Rhinolophus ferrumequinum: one gene and its partner. The protein of the gene in region 1 interacts with the protein of each later gene in a pairwise test. Links are inferred from orthologs where the notes say so. Each region holds a gene or a part of one and is shown in the gene's direction. Other genes may lie near its edges. The genes, in order: LHX9 and KHK.

What was found.
Region 2: the proteins of LHX9 (region 1) and KHK interact in binary tests that used the Homo sapiens proteins (3 or more experiments, as listed by UniProt). The two-hybrid records come from large-scale screens. The link is inferred for Rhinolophus ferrumequinum from reciprocal best matches to the Homo sapiens genes LHX9 and KHK.

What each region holds. Positions count from the first base shown.
Region 1 is NC_046310.1:2,811,361-2,826,511, reverse strand, and holds the start of LHX9 (LIM/homeobox protein Lhx9), read left to right. Parts: upstream 1-7,974; 5' UTR 7,975-8,410; coding exon 8,411-8,584; intron 8,585-10,508; coding exon 10,509-10,711; intron 10,712-11,783; coding exon 11,784-12,139; intron 12,140-15,151. UniProt on the Homo sapiens protein: Involved in gonadal development.
Region 2 is NC_046296.1:53,554,398-53,569,566, reverse strand, and holds the start of KHK (ketohexokinase), read left to right. Parts: upstream 1-7,803; 5' UTR 7,804-8,471; coding exon 8,472-8,563; intron 8,564-11,878; coding exon 11,879-11,995; intron 11,996-14,307; coding exon 14,308-14,442; intron 14,443-14,637; coding exon 14,638-14,772; intron 14,773-15,169. Other genes in the region: EMILIN1 (EMILIN-1), read left to right, coding at 271-440, 1,401-1,526, 1,998-2,218, 3,348-5,270, 5,631-5,747, 6,189-6,206, 6,364-6,501, 6,941-7,278. UniProt on the Homo sapiens protein: Catalyzes the phosphorylation of the ketose sugar fructose to fructose-1-phosphate.

The sequences.
Region 1 (15,151 bases):
AATAACTTATGGGACGCCTACTTCTGCAGTGGGGAACTGTCCCAAGAAGCAAGGACCCGGATGTCCACCATGGAGGACCTTATGTGGGACTTGTGACTCTTCCTGGCCACAACAGCAAAGGAAGAGTCACAAGTGGGGTGGGGTGGGATGGGGCAGCTCTCCCTCTTTCCTCCATCTGGAGCTGGGAGCCAAGGTCTGAAGTTCTCTGTGGTTCTGTGGTGATGCTTGTGAACCATACACACACACGTCAAGGGTGGCGGCATGGATGGTGCTCCCACATTAAACACAACATGGCCATATAAATGGGCCTCACCGCAAGAGCTTCAAGCTACATTGTATTCCCACATTGTAAAGTACAATTCGGGTTTCTTACTGGCTGTGTGTATCCAAACACACACGTGTGTGCAGAGAAGTCGAGACTTCCCGGTCTAAATCTACTCTGGTGCTTCTCCACTTTCAAGGTTTCTGGGTACTCCTGCCCCAAGAGTCCATAAATCAAGGGACATTGATTCTACATTGTTTCTAACACGGAAAGACCCAAAGGAAGCTGCAGAATCTCGTGAGGTTTACTGGGATGGAGGGTAGGAATAGATTCCAGCCTCAGTGGCTCTTTCCTTCCTGTGGATTACGTGCACATTCCCTCTCTCCAGAAGCCACACTGGCCCCATCTGTTTTGCGGAGCAAGAAAGGGAAGGGTTTTCCCCACCCCCATGAAACTTTGGGCTCCAAAATGGTTGTGTTTGGAACCTAAGGGTCCCCCAGAAGGGGAGATGCCCCTCGGCCCGGCTTGGGTCTTTGTTCCTCCGCAGGGCCCCTTATCCTAAGGCACTCGCATGCGCGGTTCCACTTCCAGGCGCCAGGACGAGGCTAGTGCAGGGGCTCACTGCCAGGCGAGCAGCAGTCTGCCTTCCTAGGAGCACCTAGAGCCGCAGGGTCACTGGTGGCTCAGAAGTAACCACATACACACTCCATGCCGACACCTGCCATGCGGCAATCTTCACATTTGATCAAAGGCTTGGTGTGTGAACTGGACATCTGCCCACCGTGGTGGAGGATTTAAGACTCCGTGCAGTTTTTCACTTCCCGGCAGCAATTAAACAGTACTTCTGCCCAAACTATCCCCTCCGCTCAGGAAAAAAAGAAGGGCATATTGAAGTGTGTGTGTGTGTGTTTGGGGGGGGGGGTTGTCAGCACCCTCTTGCGCGCCTCTGTGGAGACCTTGATTTCTAGAAAAGGCTGTGGAAGAACCCGCAGCAGCTCTCTTTGCCCTGGGATTGCGTGGTTCCTGGGACGCCCAGGCCCTCTGGATGCCCTGCTCTGTGCGGGAGCGCCCGGCGCTGGGCGGAACTCGTCCCCACTAAGGGTTTTATGGTTGGGCTCAAGACACAAAACCTCCAGACTCGCGGCCCCCCTTCCTGAGACTCTGGGTGTAAAAGTGCAAAAACTGGGAACCATGGCTCTAGGGGATTGGGAAATTCCTGACGACCGCATCTTCTCACCCAAAATTTGTATTCTAAAATGTGAGGGGTGTGTGGTTCAGTGCGCGCACCTCTGTGCGCGCGCGCGTGTGTCTGTAGAATGCATGTTTTTACCACAGACCTAAAACGGTTCGTCACCCAAAGAGGATAAAAACCGCTGCTTTGGACAGGGGTGCTTGAGAGCACCTCAGCGTTTTCGGGTGGGTGTTGCCATCCATCCATCCATCCATCCATCCAATAGCCTCGCCAGCGAACATAGAAGCTGAACCGGGAAGGCTTGTCGCCTCCCTGGCTGCGAAAACGGACGGAGATTGGGGGCTTCTCGGGGAGAGAAAAGGCTAAGGAGGCCGGGATGGGAAGGGAACGGCGGGACGAGGGGAACTTAGAAGGTGGACTGGTGGACTAGCTGGCCGATGGCACTGCCTGGTGAAGCCACGTGTGCGGGTACAGAGAGGGGCTCTGTCCCGGGTGCTCTGAGCCTCATTCGGGATTTGGGATGGGGAAAGTCGGAGGGCTTGGATTAGGGGCTCTTGCGGGACCCGTTGCCACCCCTAAACTGTGCGGCGGCGGAGCTGGCAAGCTCGGCGAAGAGGGGCATCCACCCCTGCCCAGCCGCACGTGCCCCGCATCGCACACTGTTTCCCAGGCGCGCGGGCGCCCCCAGCCCACAGCGCCCTGAGCGCACGCACCGCCGAGGAGCCACCGGGGGGACAGCGAAGAGGGGCGGGTACGGAGAGTGGCACTGTCCTCCAGACCTGCATCCCGCAGCGGCCAATCTCGCTGCTCACGTCCCCTGCCCCAGCGGTGATTCCCCGCCACGCCCATCTCTGGCTGCAAGGGGCGCACCGGGTGGGGGAGTGGGGCAATCATTGCCCAGAGGCCGGGCTTCCTGGTTCTCCGTCGCTTCCCCGCGGCCTGATTGCTCCCGGGGCTGCTGGGGCTACCCAGGCCCTCAGGGACCTGAGACCAGGTAACAGGGCCCCCTCCTGTCCCGGGTCTGGGAGTCTGTCCTCATCCCCGAAAGGCTCGTCTCCCAGGACTACAGTCGGTTCTCCCCTGGAAGGTTAATCGCCATCCCCGCCTCCTTGCCGGGCCAGGCGGGAGAGAGACCTCCCGCAGGCGCTCTGACCCGCTGACAACGCCCCGCTGGAACGCCAAGCGCACCCCAAAGTGCCAGGTTCCCGCGCCCCGCCCTGGAGTGCGGAGAGTGAGGAAGGACCGGGAGGGGCGGGCGAATGTGCGGTGAGCAATCCAGGGCTTGGCCCAGCTCCCCGCGCGAGCTACCGCCCCTCGCCGTCTATGCAGGCTCCCGCTGGCGACCGCATCTTCTGGGTGGGAGGGAGCACGGGAAGGCCACGGCCGGATGGGGACCGGAGCCCAGGGCGCACTGCGAGACTCCAGCCTCCCGCGGCGCCCAAGCCTCAAAATGCTGCGGCTTTATGAGGTTCAGTAACCGTGAGGCCTCCATTAACACCTCCCCGGATTATTGAGAGGCTGCGAGGGCGGGACGGAGCGCGTCTCCCGGCACCGGCCAGGGGATACTCTCTGCGCTCCCCTCCTCCCGCGCTGGAAGCATATACAGAAAATAAAAGACAGGTGGAGGGATCTGAGGGTCAGAGGTGAGGGATTCGGGTGAGAGAGAGAGAGAAAAAGAGAGAGAGAGAGAAGAGGTTCCCATCCAATGGTTTATTTATTTGGATTAACAGAGGACCCTCGGCAAGGCCTGAGGACCGGCCCACACCTCCCGCTGCCACCTCGCGGGACACCAGAGTCTTAGGCGGACGTCTGGACCTCAAGGTAAGACCCGATGGGCTCTGCCTGGCCCGAGCAGATTTCTGTCCTGGGCGCGCGCGGACCCGGGTGGGGGGCAGGGTGGACCCGCTGCACGCACGGCCGCTGGCACCTGAGGTCATAGCGGGGGAGCGGTTCCGACAACCCTCGGGTGGGAGGAGGCGCGCGGGGTCCCCGCCGCCACGCCCGCTGACGCGCAGCTCTTGTCTGCAGGACAGCCACCATCGCGGCGTGAGCCGCACCTTGGGCTCCGAGGATGCTGACCGGTACCACTCTAGAGGCAGGTGAGTTAAGTGCCCGGGGCCTTCTCGTTTTAGCTGCCTTTTTCCTTGGGCCAGTGTGCATATCATGTGTGTGAGTGTGTGTGTGCACACGCGTGTGCGCGCCGTCACTGGGAGGAAGGAAGAGGCGTGTGTATTTGTCTTAGAAATTACCCTGCGCTGCATAGGCTCTAAAATACACAGTGTCAGTAAGAGTCTCCAAGCAGGCTTCCTGAAAGCCGTGTGTCCCTGCTTCAGCCTTTCTCTTGAGGGTCTGCCTTAGCGCTGGATGGAGGTGGGGGCGGAGGTCACGGTGCCCCTGAGCCGCGAGTAGTCGGTGGCGCGGAGGGCTGCGCTCCGACCCTCGGTGGAGCTGCCGGGCATCTCCTTCTGGGAAGGGGTAAGGGACGGTGCAGACAGCGCTGTCACCCGGGCAGGGCTTCGCTGCAAAGCGGCTTCACCCACGTTGCTTTTGTTCACTCCGCCGTTTCAGCGGACGCGGTGCGGGACAGGTCGGTTATTCCTGGGGCGGCGCTGCAAATGTCAGGTAAAGGGCCTGCAGATTGCAGAAGCGCGCTGTGCTGGACTCGGCGGCCATCCCCTTTTGGAGAAGAACCGGGTCTGTGGAAGACAGGGGTGTGAAGGGAGCAGGCGGCCGGCGGAGGCTTTGCGGGCGCGGAGAGGGTGCGTGGTCAGGAGCACACGCAGCGCGGTCCGGGTACCCTCGGCACATCCGAGCCTCCGGCCCACTCCCCTTGGATTCCGAGGCCTTCCTAGTGGGACTGAATCAGGCGCGCCCGTGAGGCAGCGCCAGGCTTAACCTGCCACCCTCGCTGGTGGAGAGTTTGGCACATTGAGATCCCTCTGTCCACCGACTGGAGAAAAGCCCGGCGCCTCCTGGCCATTGGCTCCCCGCTCGCGCAGCGTAGCCCGGCGCCCAGGGCTGGGTGGCGCCGCACTCGGTGAGCGGTTCCCACCCACCCGAAGGCACTGACTCCCGGGCCCTAGGGTTCTCACGACAGTGCCCAAAGCCGAATACTGCTTGAGCAGCTGCACCTCGAGACCAAGGGGGCTCCTTAACCAGCTTACTAGGGTCAGAAGGAAAGGTGACCTCTGCCCTTTGAAGGGCAAAGCCGGGGGCACAGGATCTTGGCCTCCAAAATTCAGGTCTAAAGAGACCTCGAGCCGCTTACGATCTTCGGAGACGCAGATCTGCTGGGTTATTTTCCTCTCTGGAGCCCAGCGTCTCTGCTGCCCCTGGGGAAAGCCATGCATCCTCTCTCCTTTCCCTCCCCTTCCCTCTGGGGAGTTGGGTACCGCCCTCGCCCTGGTGGAGAATCCAGCACCTTGAACCCTCAGTCCGCTCCTGTGCCCCGCCAGAGTCCAGCCGACGGGGGACTGGTGGAGCAGAAAGAGGAGAGGATGGCGTGTGCCCAGCTGTGCGGGAGGGCATCTCTGGACGGGTTCGGCCCCGTTGCTCCGAACGGAGCCCCGAGTTCAGAAAGGAGACTCCAGACGGTGTTCCGGGCTTCGGGCAGGGCGGATGGCTTTTATGGCACTCGCCGACCATTCTGCGGGCCGCCGAGCCCAGCCCCTCCACGTGAGAGGTGAAAGAAGGCAGAGCCACAAAGAACTCTCCTTATAGTGCTTACTGTCCTTTGAGAGTGAGGGAGAGCGAGGAGGGGCCCTCTTAGGTAAATTTCCAGAGCTCCGAGACGCCCCAGGTCACGCACCCAATTCTCCAGCATCCTCTTCCACCCCACTCTTCCTCTTTGAGGAACTGTAGGAGGAAGCTGGGTTGCAATTTCCGTAGACCGAACAAGGACCTCCCAAACTCCGGCAGCCCCCCTGCCCCACCCCTAGCGTTCTGCAAACTTCCTGCGCCGTCTGAGGAGGAGTCCTGCAGTTCGCTTCTTTATGGGAGTGGCCAATCCCACCGGGTGCAGGAACTTATAACCCGACGTTTATAGGAAAAAGGAGGCAACCCAGTAGGCGCCCTGCTCTACCGGTATCTGATAGATAGTTAACACATATGCGTGGAACAGAGGAGCGGAATGAATGAATGCATGAATGAATGAATGAATGAATGAAGGGCTGACAGGACTTCTGCCCTTGGCTGCCCTGGAGACTTGTCACAAAGTTCTGACTTTTTCCTGGAGTTGTTGGTTAAACTTTCATTTCATGGAATCTCCAAAGTTTCATCTCTTGCAAGCAAAGAACGAGTTCTTCGCTTTTTTCGCCGAGAAGGACCAAAATTCCAGCAACAGCCAAAGTGAATTCCAACCCCCATTTGGAGGGGGCGGGGCAAGAGTTTTGCTCATAAACTAGAGAAAGCGGGTCCCTGGATTGAGGTCCCATCTTTTCTTTTTCCTCGGAGCCTCCTTGGGTGAACGGATGCTCGTCTCTGAGACTCCTGCTTTCTCCTCCTGCTCGGGGATCTGTGTCCATTTAGCTGCTGATTTGTGGGAGGCGACCTGCTCTGGTGACAGGACCTGCTGTCTTAGGAAGGTGGCTGTCCCAGCCCCTCCTTGGGGCCCTTCGTTGTGCACGTGGGTTTGCCAAGCTCATTGATTTCCATACAAAGGGGCTGATTACATTTACTTACAGTAAACAGCCTTCCAGTTGTCTGGTAGGGCTTCCAAAGTGAGGGGGGGGGGAGTGGGGGGGGCGGTCTCCAACTTAGTCCACTTGATTGGCTTAATTTCTGTGTGAAATTGTGTTTTACGAGCTGCATTCTGATACCCTGAGGATTGCAATAGCGCCCCGTCTGCAAATAACATCATTTTTGACCCTGAGAAAAGAGCAAGGAGAAGCATGGAGTCTTGGGTTTCACGCAAGAGGTGACTCCAGCAGCTTCAGAAAACGATGCTTTAGGACAGGAAGTCAGGCTGCTGCACGGTGGTATTTCCCTCCCTCCCTCTATTCTTACCTGCTTGCCTGCCTTCCTTCTCCTGGCTCATGTCCTTCCTTTCTTCTTCACCCCATTCTCATTCTTTCTTCTCTTTTCCCTCTTCCTTCCTTCTTTCCTTCTTCCTTCCCTTCCTCCTCTCCCTCTCCCTTTTTCTTTCTAGATTTGAGTGCATTCCTTGTAGGTTTCCGAAGAGGGAAGCGAGTCTGCCACCAGGGGACTCCCTGAAGTACCAGGACGTGTCAGGACTTGACCCCACTGTTCCCTGGAAAGTCGTGGGGAGCGGTGGGACAGGCAGGCAAGAGGGAGGAAAGGGGCACGGATCAGCCTGGGCTTCCTCCGGTCGGGTTAAAGCTGGGTTGGTTCCTGCCACTCCTGCTTCAGGCCTCTGGGGGACTTCTAGTGGTTTGAATGAATCGACAATCTCATAGTATTGTGGACACTTTTTTATAGGGCCGAGGAGAGGCTGCCGCTAACGGGAACAGAGGGAGACAGAACAGTCTGGCCTCTTGTGGGGTACAGGTCTGCTGTTCTGCATGTCAGATCTCACCTTCCCTTCCTCCACAGCGAGGAGTCCCTTTCACATCCTCCTAAATGTCCCGTTTTTCAAATCCCCTGTCCTGCCAGGGCAGTGGGAACAGAAAGCAGTAAGGCATGGACCGAGCTCACGGAGTCCCCGAGTCGCTGCCCACATTGACAAGCTCTAAAGGGGACACTAGACTCACCAGCACGTTCCCTTCGACCTGAACTTGGTAAGAGAATGCAGCACCCCAAGGCCGCGTTCAGTTGCAGACTCACGCCTGCAAGCAGGCCACGCCCCTGTTCTCTACACTCACCTTTCAAAGAAAATCATTTTTGCCCGAATGTAAACTCCAGAAACATAGGCTCTCCTAGCCCCTTCTCACTTTGAGGGACTCACTGGCCCCTGGCAAGGTCCGCACCCCTCTGGGGAGGTGAGGAGACCTGTTTTTAAAACATGAGCTGAGGAAGAGGGGTGAGGGAGGGAAGGCTTGTCTCTCCAATATTTAGTCATTTGGGGTCCCAGTAAGCTGGGGTCCAGAAAGTCCACACAAGAGAAACCCAAAATTTGAAGCTGGCTGTTCTGTTTGCCTTGAGCCAGGTCTGATCCTGAACTTGGACCAAATAGGCCGGTTGGCTGCTTCCAGCACCAGGGCGGGGGGTGGGGGGGGCAATAACGGCTCTTTTAAAACGGGATTGCTGGGAACTCTAGGAAGGGTGTGTGTGTGTGTGTGTGTGTGTGTGTGTGTGTGTACGCGCGCGCACGCGCGCACGCTGTGGGGGGGGGAAGTAAATGCCCCCACCCACTACCTCCCCCCGCGCCCCCCCTTTGTAATGTTTGTCCCCGCTTGCCCATCACCAGGGGGTTGAGAGGAGTATGACAGGTCTTTGTTGTCTGAATAAAAATCGGTGGCAGCTCCTGGGAGAGAACTCCTCCTACTAAATTATCAAAAATGGGCTGGCTTTAGTCTCTTAACAAATTGGACACAGCTCCGGCAGGAGCAGTCCCCAACCCAACCTACAGGCGCTGGGAACTTGCAAGCAGCCAGGGACCGCCGAAAATAGCACTTCTTTTTCTTTCTTTGTGTTCAAAACTATTTTCTTTCTGCACAGATTTTGTCCCCCCCTGCCCCACCTCCCGCTGCAGTTGTTTCTCATTAGTAACTCGATCTCTCGGAGCCGTTAAGATTCGTCTTCTTCGTCTCCCTTCCGCTCCGCCAGTGTTTGTTTGTTTTCTGCACGTCTCTTTCAGGGAGCCGCTGGGGCGGTTTATCCCCCTTCTTTTTCTCCTTCTTTTCCAAGCAGACCACCTTCCACCCTGTCTGCCTCTTTCTTCTTCCCTGTCTCCCTCTTGCCCTGTGTCCCCGAGCGTCTCCGCGCTCCTGCACCGCGCAGCCTTTGCGGTCGCTTCTGCTCCTTCCCTCGGATGAGCTGAGAGCCCAGGGCGCGTGTATATGGAAATAGTGGGGTGCCGAGCAGAAGACGACGCGTGTCCTTTCCGCCCCCCAGCCATGCTCTTCCACGGGATCTCGGGAGGCCACATCCAAGGCATTATGGAGGAGATGGAGCGCAGATCCAAGACCGAGGCCCGCCTGGCCAAAGGCGCCCAGCTCAACGGCCGCGACGCGGTAAGGAGGGCCCCAGGCGGGGCCGGCGCCCTGCGCGCTCTGGAAGCCGAATCCCGGTTCCTGGCGGCCCACAGAGGATGGCGGGTCGTGGGGACATCCGCTCCAGACTGGCGGGTGGGTTTTCTCCCGTCACCTTGTCAATGGGGCTTAGAACCGGGCACCTCTCTGCCTTGAAATGTCTCCACTACTGAGACCCCGCGCTCTCCACCCTCTGCCGCAGCTGTTCCCCGGAGAGATGAGCGAGCCGGGAGCGAGAGGATGGGGACCTCCTCTTCTGCCGACCTCAGACTCGGTTTCGGGTCCCCTGGGCTCCCGGGCGCTTCCCCGGCGAGTATCACGGCCCGAAGCGCGAGCTGGGCGCGGGCGGTGGGCGGACTGCGCGCGGCCCAGGCGTCCGGGCCAGGCGGGAGCCCTGTGGCTCTGGTCTCGGGTCTGACGACCGGACCTTTGGAGTGGACTGGAAATGTCTGAGCCACCTCCACTTCTCCAGACGCTCGGAGTCCGGCACCCCCAAACCCAGCGATTTTCCGGGTCTCTGGCAGCCGCCTTCGGCCCGTCTAGCGAGTCAGGACTGCGCTCAGCTCCCGGGCGGGACGCGTGTCATGTGCAGGGAAATCTAATAAAAAGCCGGAGGAGCGGGGTCCTTGGCCGGAGCGCGAGAAAGTGCTAACCCTTAAACGATGTAATGCACTACCACCGTCACTACTATTCATAATAACAAGAGGCATGTCTGCTTCATAAAAACTCAATTAATAATCTACGAGTTTCCCACTTACGAGCAGGAGGGGAAAAAACTACAAAAGCCTCCGGAAATGATTTCAGTGCGACCGAGCTGTGGGGATCCTTAGGCATCCCACCGGGAACTGTAGCTCAGACCAACCCGGGGCACTGCTCTGGGCCCACCTGCCCGTGCTCTGGGTCCACCAAGGAGCCGAGTTCGTGGGTGTTTCTACGTTTAAAACACGAATTCCGCGCACGTCCCTGGTCTGATCTGAGTCAAGGGCAATACTTTCCCTTTCCAGGCCCGCCAAAGTTTCGTCCAACCCATTTCTGCCGGTTTGCAGGGAAATAAAAGTCCAGCGGTTAGCTTCTTCCCCCTCCCCTTTTGTAGTCATCCTGCTTAAAAACAAAAAGCAGCACCCCGAATTTTGCGAAGGGGCTGGCTGGGCTTGTCCAGGTGAGATTTCCCGTTCCTGGACGCCTGGGTGGGGACGCAGGAGGGAAGCTGAATTTGGGCACCAAACAAATTTTCAGGACAAAGATCTCCAAGATATGTGGAAGCCAGGGAAAGAGGCACTGTCCAAAGGGCACGGGACAACGGACCCTCCCTGGGAACAGGCACTAAACACCCTGGCTAGGAGGAGAACCAGTATCCTTGAAAATTAGCGAAAGCAAGACCTGACAAATATATCCCGATCAAAACAATGGAGCCCTACCTCTGAGCACAGGCATAAAAATCTAGCCATTTCTCTCAATGTCAAGGCTGTTCACAGGAATTTAGAGAAACAGAATTGTTATCGTGTTTGTTTAAAAACAACCGTGCTCGCTCAAACTTCCTTTCCATTCCCCAATAACAATTTCCCTTGTTTGATGTTGTATGCCTTGAAAGCCACACTTTTTAGCTTGTGATTTTTCGAGTTTGGAAACATGCGCCAAACTATCGTCCCTGCGCTCCCAGCCCTTTTAAAAAGAGGTTCGAGGTGGCCGGCCTGTCCTGTTCCTTAGGGGACCCGTCCGGGGAGGACGGAACGTGGGCTGCGGCGGACGGCGTAGAAAGGGAGTGAGCGCAAAGGGAACTTTGCAAACGCTTCCCGGTGTTGACCTTGGCACACTGGCCCCTGACCCCCGGCTCGGCTGCCCCGGGACCCCGCGTCCTGCGGCCCCGCGTCCTCCTCAGCGTGCGGTGTGCTTGCCTTCCTTACAGGGCATGCCTCCGCTGAGCCCGGAGAAGCCCGCCCTGTGCGCCGGCTGCGGGGGCAAGATCTCGGACAGGTACTACCTGCTGGCCGTGGACAAACAGTGGCACCTGAGATGCCTGAAGTGCTGTGAATGTAAGCTGGCCCTCGAGTCCGAGCTCACCTGCTTCGCCAAGGACGGCAGCATTTACTGCAAGGAGGATTACTACAGGTATCCCCGCCCCTGTCCCTGGCGCCCCGCTACACCTGGCACGGCCATCTGCCCGAGCCTCGCTCGGCCCCGGCTTTTGCCCCTTCGGGGAGCAGTCATCAGCCCCCAGGCCAGGGAAGTCCACTGCACACGCCTTCAAGCTGCTGCCCCCCAGACGGCCGGTGAGGATGGGTGGGGCGACCCGGGGTCCGGAGCGTATTCGGTGAACAGCGCGCGCTCGCGGCCCCTCGCAACTCTCGGAGGGAACCGGGAAATCGTGGAAGACTGAATGAGTGTGTTCCGGTCCTCCGAGACGAAAGCGGCTTTTTTCCGTTTACTACGAACTGGGCAAGGTCCGCGCCTTGGTAGTGAACTGGTGGCCCGGGTAGGAGCCGCTGGGTGTTAGGTTTTCGCGAGGGGTGGCGGGAGACCGTGGAAATGACCATGGAAACAAAGGATGGCCGTTGCCGAAAGCCAAACCCTTCAGCTCCGAGTCCCCGTTGCCGCAGCTGAGAACCGGCCGCCAGACTCCACAGCGCCCGGCAGGCGCGTTTATTGACTCTTCCCAGCGGTGCTGTGCAGGTGACCTAGCTCTGCGCGCAGCGAGCGAGCAAGGCGGCTAGAAAAGAATGCGCTGTCCCCTGCAAAATTGTCGTTGTCCGGGGCTGTGTCTGCCTGCATGCTTTCCGCACACTCACACACCCATAAAAAACACCACCCTTCCTTCACAGAATGTTTGTAATCGATGAAATGTTTTCACTTGCATCGCGGTTCAGTATTCTTTCCGTAGCCCTGGGAGTTAGCCAGTGCAGTTTTTTTTTGTATTTGTTGTTGTTGCTTTTAATTTCCATTATACAGAGAAGGACACTGAGGATTAGTCACTCAGTTCTTCCGATTTTAATGTAAGAGTTCTTTGTCCCGTTGCCTAGAACAGGTCAATGAACGAGTGAAATGAACGCCAAAGTCGCCCCGTCCTCTCCTTCCCTCCTTCCCTCTCAGGCTTGGGCCACCGCTGACCAAGCCCCAGGTGTAGCGGGAGGGAGATGGCCCTGCCTTGCCTCAACCAGCGCCTGACTCAACTGTTTCCTTCCAGAAGGTTCTCTGTGCAGAGATGTGCCCGCTGCCACCTTGGCATCTCCGCCTCCGAGATGGTCATGCGCGCCCGAGACTCTGTCTACCACCTGAGCTGTTTCACCTGCTCCACCTGCAACAAGACCCTGACCACGGGCGACCATTTTGGCATGAAGGACAGCCTGGTGTACTGTCGCGCCCACTTCGAGACCCTCTTGCAAGGGGAGTACCCACCGCAGCTGAGCTACACCGAGCTGGCGGCCAAGAGCGGAGGCTTGGCCCTGCCTTACTTCAATGGCACGGGCACCGTGCAGAAGGGGCGGCCCCGGAAACGGAAGAGCCCAGCGCTGGGAGTGGACCTCGTCAGTTACAACTCAGGTGGGTGCCCACCACCACCCGCTTCAGCCCCGGACTCTGCTACCTCGAGACGATTCCACTTGAGCTCCTTCCGGCCCAAGATGGGGTTCCAAGAGGGTGCTTTGCTTAGTAGGCCCATCCTGCCACTACTAGTCCCTTTCACGCAGAAGGGAGGGAAAGATGGAGGAGGAGAGGAGGGGGAGAGGGGGAGGGGGAGAAAAGCAGGGGTGGGGGGGCGAGGGGGAGAGAGAGAGAGAGAGAGAGAGAGAGAGAGAGAGAGAGAGAGACCTTTATTTAGGTTGTGGCGAGAGGCACATCCATTACCATAGGCCTGTGATGACTTCCCCACCCGGCGGAGCCAAGTCCGCGGTGCCCCTTAGTTAACGAGCCCATTAGTTTCTGGCTCCCAGTTGGAGCAAAACAGCCCCAGGGCAATTCCTGTGTGGAAGCCACATTATAGATCCTGGAGAAGGCTTTCCTACTGAAAGAAAAAAAACAGAAAAAAAAGAAAAAGAAATCTTCAGAGCCCAAGCCCAGTCTGTCTAGAGGGGCACAGGCTGTGGCTAATCAGGAACACAGTTGGCAAGTGTTGAGAAACCAAACCCCTGATCTTGGCGAGAGGCAGCTGGCGGGGTGGCCGTCAGTGTGCGCAGCTGAGCTGGCCCGCGCCTTCCCGGAGTCAGGGCACTGGGCTTACCAGCTCCTTTCCCGGGTGGTGAACCAGCAGGCACCCAGCCGGCGGAAGACAGAGAACCTCCAGGTCAGGCGCCCCGAGGAGCTTCCTGGTGTCTCGGGCTGCCTTTCGGTCCTTCACCTACCTTCTCATTTCCTTAAAAGCACAATGCAGGGACCAGGCCACAGAGCACCCTCTTTCTCGCTTTGGGCACATACCTATCAGGGTCAGTCTCTCTCACCCACCCATTTCCTGTTGTCGGTAGCCTGCCCGCACCCTCCACCTTCCAGGAGGGGACGGTGAGGACCACAATTCTGAGCAGGAGGGACGCTCTTCTTATGAGCCCCAGCCCTGGGAAAAGCGGTCCCCGAAGCTCCAGGCCAACGTTGGGGAGCCTAAGGACTGGCTTTGCTGCTCTGACTTCCCTGGCCCTGGCGGGGACCCTCGGTGGCGGGCAGAAGAGTCAGACTAGGGGAGTCCAGTCTGTTGGAAGGGACCTTGGGGAGCTCCTGGTGGCAATCCCACTCCCTTACCATGAGCACCAAGTGTGGACATCGCAGAGCACGGGTCTTGCTAATTCTCCAGTCCCCACGTGCCTGGTAGGGCGCCTGAGCTTTGCTGGTTCTCAACACTGTCCCGCCAGATAAGTAATTTGCCCAAGGGAATCCCATTGCCAGTGGGAACTAGGAGTCCTGCTCTGAGCCCAGTGTTTTCAGGGGAGGCCCCGCTGGGTCAGCCCTCCAGCTCTCTGCTCGGCTCCCTCCTGGGGATATCGGCTGATGTCGCTGATGGGGACGAATCTGTCCCGGGTAAGAGCCGCGCTCTGCGTCCCAAGGAGAGTGCGGAGTGGGGAGTCCAGTGCAGCTCCACTTGTCCCTAGGGGTTCACGCCAGGGTCACTAGATGAAGGAAAAAGGGCTGGGCGGCTCGCCACGGCCCCACCTGGATGGGTTTGTGTCTGGGCGCTGGGTGCATCCCCAGGTTTCTCTAACCCTTGGCCCAGGGTCGTGGCCTCGCGCTGGCCCTGCCGCACTCAGGCCAGAGCTCTGGTTCGGGCCACTTTGCACGGTGCCGTTCCTGGGTCTCCTTTGATGCCTGGTTCCCGGAGGCAGGACAGACAGGGCAGTAATTGTTCTTTATTAATAGAAGATGAGATCGGAGTCTGGAGCCACTCACTAAGGCTCTAGTGCCCTAATGAGAGAGAGAGAGAGAGAAAGAGAGAGAAACAGAGAGAGAGAGAGAGAGAGAGAAATCACTAGTATGTCCCTGGGAAAAGAGGGAACCCCTGAGATCCTGGGAAGGTCCGGAAGTGTGGAGGACATTTTTAGCCAAAAGGTGACAAGCCTGGTTTCCCTTGTTTATTTAATCAAATCAGCTAAATTGGATTCCCCTTTGGATCTTACATTAGAAAGACCTAGAAGCTTTGAGGACAGTAGAATTCTGTTTCTCCTACTGCCCCAGGAGAACTAGTGAGTACAAATTTATTTCTTAAAAGGAATGAAACTTTCCCTCCGTGTAGGTCTTTAGTTTGCAAATTAGAGTTGCTGCGAGGTTACTGAGGAAGTTGAGGCTGGAGAAGGGTGCAGGAGGTGCTGAGACTCCTCCCCCAAGGAGTTTGTGCATCACTTGACCAGATGTCTCTTAATTAACACCCACCCCATCCTTTCTGGACTTTCCCCAGATTCACCAGTAAATACTATATACTTCTTTAAATTCAGGTGAACGTAATCTGGAGAAATGGCATTAAAGATGCCTGACGGGAAATCAACCCACCATTTAAAAAAGTGTTTATGAATCTAATGCCAGCTTGTTACAAAACCAGCAACACAAACACTTCAGCGAATTAAAAACGTTAAAAAAGTAGAAAATAAAATGGACTCACAGTTTTAGCTCAGTTATTTATTTTTTAAAAACTTTCTTTGGACCTTATATTGCCATCTATCTCTGCCTCAGTGTAAACTAGTTTCAGAAAGAGTAATGTTGATACTAAACAAATATAATTTATACATTGATATAATTTCAAAAACATGTACACGAAATATGTTTATGATTCGAAGACTTCCAGAGAAGATGTGAAACTTGGCAAAAATCAGTTAGAGCTTGCCATAAGGCACATGCCTTTGAATGAAAATATTCTGAATTTAGTTATTCCTTTGTGCTGTATCAGGGAGATATTTTCGAAGGACACACGGCAAGTTGATTGGGAATGCTGGATTGAAATAAAACCTTCCAGGGGTGAGAAGAAGATTTAGTTTAGAATAGGCAGCTCTTGTTTGTTTGGGCAATTTAGCATTAATTGAGAGACAAAATTTTTGCATCTTCTCAAAATCTCCCTGAGGTTGGTTCTTGGCTTCCAAACTT
Region 2 (15,169 bases), on another chromosome or scaffold:
GGCCGGGGGCACTGAGAACAAACTCCCCTCAGAGGTGGAGAAGAGGAGAGCGGAAGGAACGAAGGGAAGAACAGACGGGAGCCTGAGGAGGAAAGAGGAGGGGGAGAGAGGTCAGGCCAGGAGGCCAAGGAGGAGGCGAGTGGCTGGGGGCTGCCAGCAGGAAGCTGGGGACAGGACCCAACTTGGAGCAGCGGGCATCCCCACTCCAAGCAGAGGCGCCAGTGGTCAGGCGGGATGTGCCTCTGAGGGCCACAGCGGAGCACCCCCACCATGGCCCCCAGGAACCTCTGGAGCTGCTATCTCTGCTGCCTGCTGACCACAGCTGTGGCGGCAGCTAGCTACCCTCCTCGTGGTTACAGCCTCTACATGGGGAATGGCGGGGCCCTCAGCCCTGGTGGGCCCCAGGCCCAGAGTGCCCCCCGGCCTGCCAGCCGCCACAGGTAAGAATCTGGGTCCCAGCCCTACGCTGGAGGTAGGTGGGAGGGTGGGTCAGAAGGTGGGTATCCTGGCCCTGCCCCACTTTGGCTACCCTCTCCTGGGCTGTATCGCCAATGCAGGGAAGAACGGGAGAGGAAACCCATCCATCAGATGGCTCCTCACACGCCCACCTTCCTGCCGGGTGTTTCCAGGGCCCCCCTGCATAGATGGGTCCCATCAAACCTCATAGGATCGGCTCTCACGTCCTCCCCATGGGACGTGCCGTTAGGTGCCCAGGGAAACTACCCTGAGGGACGTGGGCCAGGCCTTCCGGCCAGCTGTGTGCCAGCCTGGGATCCTCGGGCAGACCTTTTATTTCTGTGTAGGGCTTCCTCGGCCCATCTAGTAATCCATGATTTTAACACCACTCCTGCTCTGCTCCCTTCGGGTCTCCAGCCGGACACAGATCAGAGGCCAGCATGAATGGGGCCAAGAGTGCAGAACTGCAAACCCCATGGGGGACAGGGCTCATCAATGGCTTATTCTCTGCTTAACCTTGAGCTGGACCCCTGCCTGCCCAGTCCTCTCCCCTGCGGGGCGGGTGGAAGCCAGCATCCAAAGAATCACCAGAGGGCCCCCGCCAGCCGGCTCATACAGGCCACGCCAAGCTGGGGATTCAGACAGCGAAACGAATGAATGTGTGAATTCAGAGCCTCTCCAGGACCCCCTCCCCAGCCATGTATCAACTTTTTGTAGTTGTGGTTTTCCATTCTGTGCCTCTTCTCCTGTCTTGAAAAGTCTTTATTGACTCCGTCCCGTACAGGAAGGCGTGGGGGGAGCTGCCCCGGCCAATGCCCTGGCTCCCACTGGTCCCCAGGGGCCCTTCATCTTTTGACCCTCCCTCAGCCCTTCTGGTAGCCTCAGTGCCCTGCTCTGGGGCGTGTGTCTCTGGCCCTCGGGCCCAGGTGAGGTTGTGCCTGCAGGAACTGGTGTGCCTACGTGGTGACTCGGACAGTGAGCTGTGTCCTTGAGGATGGAGTGGAGACCTTCATCAAGCGCGAGATCCCGGCCTGTGGCTGGGGCCAGCCCCAGTGTCACCGCAGCATGATGTGAGCCCCGGCGCTGGGGAATGGGTAGTTGGAGGGGGCTGGGCTAGGACGGAAGGCGACCAGCCAACTCAGGGAATTTGTACAAAGCAGGTAATTGTGGCAAGGGGCAGGACCAGGGGTTTCAGTCGGAGCCATTTTGAGAAGATGCCGAGGCAACATTTTGGTGGGATATTGAGGACACACTTACCAAGACTACCCTGCCAGCCCCCGAATGCCATCTCCTTGCTGGGTCATGCTCAAGGAGAGGAGTTCAAGGTTCCAGCACAGCACAAGGGGAGAAAGAATAGGGATTTGGCCCTTGGCCAGCAAGCTGACAGCTGTCAATGGAGCCAGGCCGCATGCTGGACAGTAAGGGTGGCCCAGCCTGAGGGACAGGTCTTGCCCACCAGCAGCTGCCCATCTCTGAGGACAGGGGCCAGGGTCACTGACCGTACAGGGAAGAGTAAAGAGCCCTCCCTCTACCTCTCCCAGGTACCGCAGCTTCCTCCGCCCTCGCTACCGCGTGGCCTACAAAACAGTGACGGATATGGAGTGGAGGTGCTGTCAGGGGTACGGGGGTGATGCCTGTGCCGAGAGTCCTGCCCCAGCGCTGGGTCCTGCACCGACCACACCACGCCCCCGGCCCCGGCCCGGCCGCCCCAACCTCTCAGGTTCCAGTGCGGGCAGCCACCTGAGTGGACTAGGGGGGGAAGGTGAGTATGGGAGCCCTGGGGAGAGAAGTGGGAGATGGGATTGGGTGGAAAATGTGGTCAGGATGTTGAGGGAAAACCCCATGCTCCAAGTCAGAAAAACAGGGGCAGAAGGGAGTTAATGAGATCCCTGAGATTCCCTGTCCGTGCATACATGCGCGCACGCGTGCGTGCCTGCGTGCGTGTGTGTGTGTGTGTGTGTGTGTGTGTGTAACAGATTAAGAGACCAAGAGAAAAAGGCAGAGAAAGTGAATGTGCTCACGCACGCCCACATGTGGCCAACATACTTCCTAGTTGGGAACAGCTGCGGGAGGAAGGGGGAATTCCTTCGAGAAGCTTGGTCCAAAGGGGTAGACAGTTGAGACTACAAGTCCTAGCATGCACTGCAACCGACTACAGGTCCCAGGCCTCTCGGTGGCCTCTGGAGACGGCAGGTCCCAGAATGCAGCAGTTCCTGTTGCTTTCCCATGTGTGTGCTGGGCGCTGCGGATGTGCTGTGTTTGCCTGCCAGAGAGATAACCATGATGTAATTATAGAAACAGGAACTTCTGGCCAACTCTCCCCGCATCCAGCCAGAGCCCCCGCAGGCTTGCCACGGAACCTTGTTTGTCCCGTGGTGTTGCAGAGAGGTGCTGTTCAGGAATAGCCACTGTCATGCAGTCCACACTGCCTCCCCTACATTCCCATTTCATTTGTTCTGAGGGAGCAACCTAGTGTCATACCTATTTCACAGATGAGGACACAGTTTCCATAGAGTAAAGAGGCCCTCTGGACAGTGGGAAGGACATGGGCTCGGTGGTCCAGTGGATGACTTGAGTTTGAAACTTGGCCCTGCGATGTATTACACTTGTAATCCACAACCCAATTACTTAGTCTCTCTGGTCCTTGATTTCTCAATCTGCAAAATGGGAAGAGTTGATGACAGCTGCCCAATGGAGTTGTAAGGGGGAAAGGTTTGTCCTAGAGGCATTTAGTGAATGGGAGTTTTCTTCCATCTTTTCTTGCCCAAATCACCCAGGAAAGGGGTGGCCAGATCAGCTAGGACCTCTGACCTGTTGGAACTGGGGAGCTGGACCTAGGAGGTAGGCACTGAGCTCTGAGGTCCAGCCTTATGCCTTCCCTTCTCTGCCAGGTCCTGGGGAGTCAGAGAAGGTACAGCAGCTGGAGGAGCAGGTACAGAGCCTGACAAAGGAACTGCAGGGTCTTCGCGGTGTCCTGCAAGGACTGAGTGGGCGCCTGGCTGAAGATGTGCAGCGGGCTGTGGAGACGGCCTTTAATGGGAGGCAGCAGCCAGCAGATGCAGCTGCTCGCCCTGGGGTCCACGAAACCCTCCATGAGATCCAGCAGCAGCTGCAGCTCCTAGACAATCGCGTCTCCACCCATGACCAGGAGCTGGGCCATCTCAACAACCATCACAGTGGTGGTGGTAGCAGTGGCGGCAGGGCCCTGGACCCAGTCCCACCAACTCCTGGCCACAGCGAGGAGCTGCTACAGGAGCTGGAGCAGCGGCTGCAGGAGTCCTGCTCTGTGTGCTTGACGGGACTGGATGGCTTCCGCCGGCAGCAGCAAGAGGACAGGGAGCGGCTTCGAGCACTGGAGAAGCTACTGGCCTCTGTGGAGGAGGGGCAGCGGCAGCTCACAGGGCAGATCCTGGGCCGCAGGCCACCTCAGGAATGCTGCCCACCAGAGCTGGGCCGCCGATTGGCAGAGCTGGAGCGGAGGCTAGAGGTCGTGGCTGGCTCGGTGACAGTGTTGAGCGGGCGTCGAGGCACCGAGCTGGAAGGAGCGGCAGGGCAGGGGGGTCACCCCCCAGGCTACATCAGCTTAGCATCCCGCCTCTCTCGCCTAGAGGACCGATTCAACTCCACCCTGGGTCCTTCGGAGCAGGAAGAGAGCTGGCCTGGGCATCCTGGGGGACTGAGCCATTGGCTGCCTGCTGCCCGGGGCCGGCTAGAGAAGCTGGAGGGGCTCCTGGCCAATGTGAGTGGGGAGCTGGGTGGGCGGCTAGACCTGCTGGAAGAGCAGCTGGCAGGGGCTGTGCACGCTTGTGGGCAGCTCTGCTCTGGGGCTCCAGGGGAGCAGGACTCCCAGATCAGCAAGATCCTCAGTGACTTGGAGCGCAGGGTGCTGGACAGTGAGGCGCAGCTGCGACTGGTAGGCTCAGGCCTGCACAAGGTGGGAGCAGCTGGGGAGGCCCAGCAGGCTGCACTGGAGGGACTACAAGGGGTCATAGGCCAGCTCCAGGGTCGTGTCGATGCGCAGGATGAGATAGCTGCAGAGTTCACGCTTCAGCTGAATCTCACAGCTGCACGGCTGGGCCAGCTGGAGGGTCTGCTGCAGGCCCGTGGGGATGAGGGCTGTGGGGCCTGCGGTGGTGTCCAAGAGGAACTGGGTCGTCTTCGGGATGGTGTGGAGCGCTGCTCTTGCCCCCTACTACCCCCACGGGGCCCTGGGGCCGGCCCGGGTGTTGGGGGGCCAAGCCGTGGGCCTCTGGATGGCTTCAGTGTGTTTGGGGGCAACTCAGGCTCAGCCCTACAGGCCCTGCAAGGAGAGCTCTCCGAGGTTATTCTCACCTTCAGCTCCCTCAATGACTCATTGCATGAGCTCCAGACCACCGTGGAGGGCCAGGGAGCTGATCTGGCTGACCTGGGAGCCACCAAAGACCGCATCATCTCTGAGATTAACAGGCTGCAGCAGGAGGCCACAGAGCATGTTACGGAGAGTGAGGAGCGCTTCCGAGGCCTGGAAGAGGGACAGGCACAGGCTGGCCAGTGCCCCAGCCTAGAGGGGCGATTGGGCCGTCTGGAGGGAGTCTGTGAGCGGTTGGACACAGTGGCTGGCGGACTGCAGGGCCTACGCGAAGGCCTTTCCAGACACGTGGCTGGGCTCTGGGCCGGGCTACGGGAAACCAACAGCACCAGCCAGACACAGGCAGCGCTGCTGGAGAAGCTGCTGGGGGGGCAGGCGGGCCTGGGCAAGCGGCTCAGTGCCCTGAACACCTCCCTGCTGCTCCTGGAGGACCGACTTCACCAGCTCAGCCTGAAGGACCTCACTGGTGAGGGGGCAAGAGAAGACCTGGGGTGGTGGGGGTATCCCTTTCAAGTCCTTCCCCGGCCCCCACAACGGCCCAGGTTTCACCTCATCCACTTTCTCCTTGCTCTGCCCAGCAAAAATCGCAGACCCAACACTGTCCCAGGGTTGGTTTATCCACAAGAGATCTTCCAAGGTCCCAGCTCCCAGCCCTCCCCTGGCAGCTCGGACAGGCCTGTGGGTGGAGGTGGGGTGCTGCTCTGCCTGCCAGGTATCCAGCACGGGCAGCGATGGGTCCCATCAACTTGTCAATGGAGCCACAACCCTCTTTGTCCTTTGGGAATTCCTCATGTGGCTCTCCTTCAACTTGTGTTTGTCGCTGTAGGGCCTGCAGGTGAGGCTGGACCCCCAGGGCCTCCTGGAGTACAGGGACCTCCAGGCCCTGCTGGACCTCCAGGACTTCCTGGCAATGATGGACAAAAGGGGCCCATCGGACCACCAGGTATGTGGGCTGAGATTCTTGCTGCAGCCGGGTTACCACTCCCCATGCCCCCCGATTAGCCCCAGGCTTGACATTCTACTCTGAACTTGACAGGGAAGGGGGGAAAGGGGCAAGGAATTGGGAGTTCTAGATGGCTGGTAGTGACGAGGAAAATGACTAGGAGCTGTGTTGGCTAATTGGATATGGCGGCCTCACTGCTGTACTGAAGACCAAGGTTGAGTCTACAAGGCCTGTGTTGCATGTGAAAAGCTAGGGGCTAAAGAGGTATGGCCTAACAGTTGAACAGAGTGGACCTATCCCTCCTTTTCTTAGTACCCCTTTCCTGCTTTGAAGTCTGCATAGCACCTAGCACAGCAGCGCACACTCAGCAGATGTTTGCCAAGTGACTTAGTGAGAGCTGCTGTACTTCTCTTCTCACTGCTCCCTTTCCTCTTCCCACAGGTCCCCAAGGTGAACAGGGTAAGTTCTCATGTGATGCTGGGGGGAGGGGAACTGAACTAGGGGTTGGAGGATGGAAGGCCTCAGGTGGTCTTGAGGGTAGAGACCCAGGAGGAGAAGGGGGCTAGGCAGCTCTGCACTGAGCATCCACTCTGACACCCACCCTACCCCCACCCAGGAGTGGAGGGGGCACCAGCAGTCTCTGTGCCCCGGGTGGCTTTTTCAGCTGCCCTGAGTTTGCCCAGGTCTGAACCAGGCACAGTGCCCTTTGACAGAGTCCTGCTCAACGATGGGGACTACTACGATCCAGAGACCGGTAAGCCTGGGAGAAGGCTGGCTGGGCACTGCGGGGAAGCAGGCGGGAGCGGCAGGGAGGCTATGCAGTGACGTGCTCTCATTCTTGCCCCTTCAGACAAGGTGAAACTCTTCATGCTCTGGTTTGGGGAGAGCCTGTTCTTTCCTTCATTTATTCGTTCTCACCACAGCTTGGGCCGAGCACTGGGGTGGGGACGGGAGGAGCCATTGGTTCAACAGCTCTTTACTGGGTCTGGCTCTTGCCCAGGCCACTATTGTGAGCGCAGGGGATGCGGTGATGAACAAAACACGCAATCCCCTGCCCTCGTGGAGCTTACAGTCTGGTGGAAGAGAGATGAAAAGACCCAGCAGGTCCCTCCCTAGTCCAAGAGTTCTGGGTCGGGAAGCCTTCAGGGGCTCTGCCACCTGTCTGTCCTCCTGACTGCTATCCTTGTCCCCAGGCGTGTTCACAGCGCCACTGCCCGGCCGCTACTTGCTGAGCGCAGTGCTTACTGGGCACCGGCACGAGAAAGTGGAGGCTGTGCTGTCCCGCTCCAACCTGGGCGTGGCCCGCATAGACTCCGGTGGCTACGAGCCTGAGGGCCTGGAGAATAAGCCTGTGGCTGAGAGCCAGCCCAGCCCCGGCGCCCTGGGTGTCTTCAGCCTCATCCTGCCGCTGCAGGCCGGGGACACGGTCTGCATCGATCTAGTCATGGGGCAGCTGGCGCATTCGGAGGAGCCACTCACCATCTTCAGCGGAGCCCTGCTCTACGGGGACCTGGAACTAGAACAGAAGTAGACTGGGGGTTGGGCCGACCTGCCCGGAGTCTAGGCCGGCCAAAGAGCCAGCGGGGGCGGCGATCCCGGGCACCCCAGCCCCGGGCGAGTCGCCGTCTCGGGACCCGCCGCGGCACTGGCATCCAGAGCAGCGTCCTCCCCACGAACGGAGTGCGTCGGGTTGGGGTTTCCGGAGCCCCTCGTCCAGACTTTTGGCCTGATCGCTGTCCCCTGCAGGACTCGGACTGTGGAAGAGCCGATCATGGCCCTCTTTACTCCCCCAACTGGCCTCTAGGCTGATTCCCTGGGTTTCAGGGCTCTCCCGAGGGTGTTTCGGGAGAGTACCCCACCGCCATACTAAACTATTCAGGAATAAAGACACTTGGTTTTTATAAAAAACAAAACAAAACACCCCGTCTGCTTCAGTATGTTCAGGTATAGATAGGAGTACACAAGGGACAGGATGGGGGAGCCCCGGTTCCGGACCCCGCCTCGCGCCCTCCGCTCTGCGCTGCGAGGCTCTGCCAGCACTTGCACCGGACGTGCGAGCCACACTAGACCCAGGTGAGACCCTCCTCCCAGTCACGCCCGTCCCGCCGGCGTCCGCCAGGGGTCGCTGGGCGCCGTCTCCCGTCACGTGACCATCACCGCTCTCCTTGCCCGGCGGAGGCGGGGCCTCGGACTGGGATTGGCTGAGCGTCTGGGCCCCGCTGTGCAGTAGCGGGCGCGCGAGCCACTGCTTGGACTTGCGGGAACTGGTTGCAGCTGCGAGGTCCGCTCAACTCAGTGGGTCTAGGGTGTGCCGTGGGAGCCACCCGTGCAGGAAAGGGCGAGCTAGGGGCGCCTTTCTACTGGACTTTCTCTTTGCATTCATGAGATTGCCTAGCCGTGCTTTCGCTCCTCCGTCTGACAAGTGAGGAAGCTGAGGCCGAGAAGTGGGAGGCGTTGCCATCTGCTGGGCCACACAACCTGTTAAGGAGAGCCAGTGGCCAGGACCTCGGGGTCTGCGCTCCCACGTCCGCTTGCATCGGTGGACGTGGAGAGCGAGGTTCTCTGCACCCCACTGCACCCGCCGCCGCTGCAGGAGGCTTCCCTGGAGGAGGAGCTCGAGACGCGGAGGCGGAGCCAGGGCAGAGAATACAATCCTAAGGGATAAGAGCCAGACCGGGAGGAATCTTTGCAGCCGGGTGGGCAGAAAGCTCCAGGAGCGGCCTCATGGAAGAAAAGCAGATCCTGTGCGTGGGGCTGGTGGTGCTGGACATCATCAACGTGGTGGACAAGTACCCGGAGGAGGACACGGACAGCAGGTAGGGGCACCCGGGCCCCTCGGAGACTAGGGCCTGCTGCAGCCCCGTGTTTGTGCCTGGCAGCCAACACTACAGGGCCACGGAGTCAGGGGCCCCGCATTAAGGCGGTGAGAGACCAACCTCGGGAGCCCGTGCCCCGTGCCCTCTGCCCGACACCTGGGGAAAGAAGTGAGGCCTTCAGTAAAAAGGCCCAGACTTCAGATAGCATTGTGTTCTCCAGTTCTCATTTCATCCCTGGGACTATGTCAAGTATGATTATCCCCATTTTACCCATAAGCAAGTAGACACTCTTGAGAGACGAAGTGATTTATCCAAGGGCATGCAATTAGTACAGTGTAGGGCCAATTTTTTTTTTAACATGACCTATGCACTTGCCTCTCACCAGCATTTACTTCTCATTTATTTAGTACATATGTATCTCATCTATTAAAATAATTGAGGTAGCCTACCATAAAAAGTATGTACAGTTAAGATTGTTCAAGAACATTTAAAGGTGTGGTATTGAGCTTCACCATGTGGCTCAGGGCTCGCTGGCACTGGCAACTTTGGAGATGCTGTGGGTTATGGACAGAGCTGGTCACTACAGACTTTTCCCCTGTGCTAAATTCCAAAAGGAGCTTACCGGAAGTCCTTTTTATAAAAGGAAAAGTCTGTCGTGAAAAACGTTCTTCTCAGTTGTCTGGTAGAAGATGAAGAGTCATTTGGTGGTTCTTACTCTTGATAAGAACCCCACTGTTACACTGTAATCCCAAGAAGGTATTTCTGTGGGTGAAATACAGGCCTTTCTCTTGGTGCAGTCCAGTGCTTAGAATACTGAGAAGAATTGCTCCTTGGCTATTCTGGATAAAAGGCCAATTCAAGACTGAGCTCAGCAAGACATTACAGCACTGATAGCCACGAGGCTAATAGAGGGGAGAGACCGGGCGTTCCTCAGGCTTTGGGATCATCCAGCAATGTCATATGTGTTACCACATACTTTCCTCACAGCAACACATGGGAAGTGTGTAAAGATCAATCAGATCCTTTCTTTATAGCTGAGGGAGATGTAGAGACATTATGATTTTTGTAAGGCCACGTGGTTCACAAGTGGCAGAGCAGTCATCACATCCCAAGCCTCCTAACTCCAAGCTTAGCGCTCCAGCCCTCCGTTGTCTGTCGTGACCCCATCCCATTTCTGCTGCCCTTCTCATGGAGCTCACCCTTGGCTTTGGGCTGCTTTGTTTGCCAGAGGTTAGAGCCTCTTGCCAGGGGTGCCGGGGCCAGTAGGGGAGAGGCACAGGCCAGCCCCCGCTCCTGCACAGTGAGGAGTTAGGCGTCCTCTCAGAAGAATAGTCTACATTTCAGGGCCACAGGTCCTCCAAGGACTGGGGAGGGCCTGGGGAAGACCCAGAGTGCCTCTTTCGACAAGAGCTACAGCCCCGTTCCTCTGAGCTTATGTCAGGAGGCCAGGGTGAGGAGATCCTGCTAGCTCCCACCCTGACTGGGGCTGGTTCTGAAGGTGGGCACTCAGTGCGGTGCCTCTCTAAACAGAGCCAGCCCATGTTCTCAGTACAGCTGCCCTTAGGTGTACTTTCCCCTCCCCCAGACCCCTGGCTCTGCTCCTCTGCAGAGCACTTGGGTTGTGTAGGGCCTCTCTCCTGTGCTCCCATCCCACCCAGCACAGAGGAGCAAGCCTGAGCGGGGCCAGTCCTCAGCCATCTCAGCCCCACTTGTCCCAGGCTCCACAGGAAACTGGGGACTCACTGGAGCTGCCGCTTGGTACTTGGCCCGACCCCTGAGAAATGGCCCTGTCTCCCAGAGTCCAGGCCGAGAAGAGCCTTCCAGAAAGTATCCTCATGCTCATTAGAATCTTCCTGCCCCAGAAGTTGGGTATCAGTGTAATTTTGAAGGGTTTCCACATAGTACAATTTATACCCTTTTTTTGACACCTCATTCAAGCTGGAGCCTGACTACTCTCTCTTCAGAAATACAGAGGACACCACAGTGGTTTAAGAGTCAGGAAACCTGGGTTCTCATAGTAGCTTTGTCATTAACTATTGGTGTGACCTTGAGCAAGTCAAATGCCTCCAGGCTCCTCCTCTCGGCATGAAAATTCCTCTAAAGCTCATAGCTTGAGAAACGTTTGCCCCTTTACAAATTGGTATCCGTCTTTCTAATGAGATTATGGTCCCCTTTTCCCTGAACGGAAGTCCAGGGTTAAGTTTTGTGTACAAATAAACTTTAGTCTAAAAATTCTGCTTCATTTGTTTCCCTTAATTAATGGCTCTTTGGTACTTGTTCCTCTTATTGTAAGCGGCCAAAGTTATCATTATTATTCTTTTTGGCACTGGGAGAATAGAAATAACATCCTGCATTGTTTACCCCACAGTATTATTGGCGCACAAATGAGATATCATTAAAGTGCTTTGATACGTATGCATAAGTTATCATTTTTGTTGATGATTACAATGAAGTCATACAGGTGTATCTTGAGTTAGTTTCCTCTTGTTAGATTTTCAGTAAAGATGGAGAAAAACTAAAGAAAAGAAAGGTAACTATGTGATGTTATGGACATGTCAACTAACCTTATTGTAATCATTTTGCAATATAGATGTATATAAAATCATCACGTTGTGCATCTTAAACTTACAGAATGTTATATGTCAATTATATTTCAATAAAGCTAAAAAATAAAAAATAAAAGGAAACAAACCAAAAAAAAAACGATGGAGAAAAACTGGTCTTCACCCAATAATCTTTTTAAAATTTTTGATATTGTGAAAGTTAGCACCCCCCAACCCTCACTTCTTAAATGATCACAGTGGGTTTGATTCCTGTCTTACTCATTTTAACTTGAGTTGTTATTGAAACAGCTCTTCTCAGAGAGGAACACATAGTAGATTTGACACCTTTGGGAAGGAAGCAGCACTTGTAGTTATCCAGCTCTCAGGAGAAGGCTGTCCCAGCTGTGCCTGGGGGAGAGCGGGCCATTGTAACTGAGGAGGAGGTAACCCAGAGGGAGTGGAACCCTCAAGTTGTGACGGATCTGAGTGAATGGTTTCCTAATGTCATAAGCATAGGTGGAAGATAGAAATTCATTGCTGTGCATTTGAATTTAGCCTGGATTGGAGAGACAGACCTGGTCCTCAGCCAAGCCACTGTCCTTCCCTAGCGTCAGGCTGCCCATCTAGAAAATGGGAAGACTGGCCTGGCTGCTTTCAGAAGGAGTTCTCCCAGCTTTTACATTCTGTGGCCCCTACCCAGGCACTGTGATCAGCCCTGCTTATTTCGGGATCAGCCTGCTGGCACTGCAGGGACCCTCCTTGTGTTTTGCAGGTGCTTGTCCCAGAGATGGCAGCGTGGAGGCAACGCATCTAATTCCTGTACCGTTCTCTCCCTGCTTGGAGCCCCCTGTGCCTTCATGGGCTCGCTGGCCCCAGGCCACGTGGCTGAGTGAGTTGAGGAGGGTGCAGGGGAGGCCTGCCTTCAGGGTGGGGAGAGAAGAAAGTCTTACCCCTGGGTGGTGGGCTATAAGAAGAGGTGTGTGGCCACCAGACACGGGTGGGAGGAGGCGGAGAGGAGTACCAGCATCCCAGACCCTCCCTGGTGTGGTTTATCTGCTGTTCAGGCGTTAACACTGCTCCTGTGAAAAGTTTCATCTGTATAGCCTGTTTCCCTGTCCACTCCCTGGAGCCTGCTCCAGCTTCCCCACTTTCTCCTTCTTTGCTTCCAACAGATTCTGAGGTGGATGTGACTTTGCCCTTCTTAAGTTCTTTATTCTAGCAGTGCTTGAGGCAGAAGGCAATTAGGGACATGGTGGACCCACCCTCCCTGAGAGTTGTCCAGCATCCATGGTCTGAGGGTCCAGGCCTACAGTTTCTTTTCCAGTTGAGAGGGCAGGGCCAGTGCTCGTGTCCCAGTTGTTCCCTGAAGCAGCAAGAGCACCCTGCCCAAGGATACTCTGGAGCCACGTGCTAAAGCTGGGCCCAGACCCCTGCCTCCCGGCTCATCTGCTGTGAGGCTGCAGCCAGTATGTGGCTTACACACTTACACTCTGTTGGCTACTGCAGGGACCCAAGGTCCCTTTGACCCCCTGGCACTGCCAACTCAGCATGCACTTATCAGGAGGTGAGGCTTACACTTTGCCCACTGTGGGCACTGGAGTAGGCTGCCAGGTTGCTGGCCTGTGAAGCAAAGCCCTTTGAACCCTGGTTTGGAGGGGGAGGGAGGCTGCTGCCAGAGCCCTGCCCCCGAGCCACAGCCAGATGACCTTCCTTGATGAACTGGAACAGAGCGAATTAAGGGGTGAGAGCCTGCCCTGTGAGATGGAACAGAAGGTCCCGGAGTCAACAGCTGGTCTCTTGTTAACCCTTTCCAGCAGCTGCCTTCCCTCCCAGCTAGAAGCGAGACTGGCTCTTGCTTCAGGTAGTGGACCCATCTTTATGTAGCAATCATGCTGATAGTGGGCCATTTCGAATTCTCCTCTTGTGTTCAACAAACATTTAATGAGCATCTGCCATGTGCCAGGCACTATGGGTGCAGAAAGTTATTTGGCAAACCAAACCGTATTTTCCAGACTATGGGGAACCTACTATTTAAAGGATCTTTGAAGTGTAAGACAAGGACCGATGTCCCGACTTGTGTGTGTGTGTGTGTGTGACACGCCATTGAGCCTCTACTCCTGGTGACCCTGTGAATGAATGATGTCCACAATGTCCTGCCCTAACAGCTCCTGTAGGCTCATGCCTGTGGCTTCTTTTATGGAGTCAGTCCATCTCATGTTTGGTCTTCCTCTCTTACAGCTGCTTTTTTATTTTCCCAGCGTTATTGTCTTTTCACTTTTATACAAATCTGTATTGTCCAGCTTTGGTGTTGCTATAAGTGGGATCCAGTCCTAGTGAGAAAAGCCAAGATGATGGCTGGTCGACTGACATAAGTGCCAACTGTTGAGCACAGGACACTGCATTTCCGGAGACGGCCAGGAGGGATGGGCCTGGCTTCCTTGTTCTCCTGCTGGTGTAGTCTTCTTGAGGGGCTGCCCCGGGCTCGCTCTGATTGGAGGGGATTCTGGGCAAGAGTCCTGGACCATGCCCATGCGGAGGGGCCTCAGGCACTGGGAGCCAGCTCACTGCCCGGGAGGGTTCGCCTCACTGTGCGAGGAGAGGACAGTGAGCAGGGCTGCCAAGGCAGCACCACTTTGGCTGGGCATCATGGTGTAGCATGAGAGGACTCATGTTTGGACTGGAAGGGACTTCAGAGAGAAGAGGGCCCTGGGGATGAGTGTGCAGAGGGCAGATGGGGAGCAAAGTATCATCTTGGTAATTCATTTTTAAAAAACTTTTTCCCCTTGTTTATTCATCTTGGTAATTATTAATTCTGCCTGGGCTTTGCATGAAACAGGCCACAGTGTCCTCACCTACTTGTTTCAAACAAGGCACATGTTCTAGGCCCCAAACCTACCCCAGTTAGCTTTATGGATGCGAGAAAATCCTTTCCAGCTTGAATCAACTGAAGGCCCGTGTCAGGATTGGAGTTTGCTTCAGTCAGGACCTCAAAGAAGGTCCCTTAGTGTTTATCTCACTGAGCTCCAGCCTATGCATTTCTGCCTCTCCCACCTCCTTGCCCAGCCTGTGACAACCGGTGATTTCCAGTTCCTTCCTAGCTCTCTCTGCTTGCACCTTGGGTCCATAGTGGCCCTGCCAGCTACCCTCCAGTCCCCAAACCCTTGTCGAGCTGCACCTCCCTGGGTTGCTCCGCCCCAGCAGTTTTGTCCTGGATGACCTCCGCCGCTATTCCGTGGACCTGCGCTACACGGTCTCTCAGACCACGGGCTCTGTCCCCATTTCCACAGTCGTCATCAGCGAGGCCAGTGGAAGCCGCACCATCCTCCATGCCTACAGGTTTGTACAGCTGTCTGCGTCTTGGCAGCTGCTGCTACCATTGCTGAATCCCAGGACGGGACTCTTCTCTCAGAAGAGGGGTGCTCACACCCACAGGCTCCAGCACCCCTCCCTACCCCAATGGAAGGTCCAGGCCACTTGTAGGCTCTAATTTGTGTCTCCTTGCCCTTCCCTTGGCTCGGGCTCCACCCCAAGTTTCCTGGTGGCTGACTTCAGGCAACGGGGCGTGGACGTGTCTCAGGTGGCCTGGCAGAGCAGGGGGGAGACCCCTTGCTCTTGCTGCATCATCAACAACTCCAATGGCTCCCGTACCATTGTGCTCTATGACACGTAAGGCCCCCTGGCCTCGCCCTGCCATACCCACCAATCAGTCCCCCCCTCGCCACCATGGGCATCCCAGTTGCCCACCTTATGTGGCCTCATTGTACCAGAAATTGTCCTATGCCAAACTGCTCAGTGATTTCTGAATTGTGTTCAATTAGGGGAGAAGTGGGTGGGAAGGGATGGGCTTTGCTCTGCCTGGCAACCTGGCCTTGGTCAATATCACGGTTGGGCAGGCAAGCCTGTATAAAATGTAATTTATGTGATTGCTCCTTAATTAGTCAATCAGCAGCCTGGGTGTGGGTGGGGGGAAATTGTTCTGAGGGTGGAAGGATGGGAGATGTGATTTAAACTCCCGTGAGCCCCGAAGTGGGGCCAGTGGGATTTCCACGGTCAGCCCCCAGAA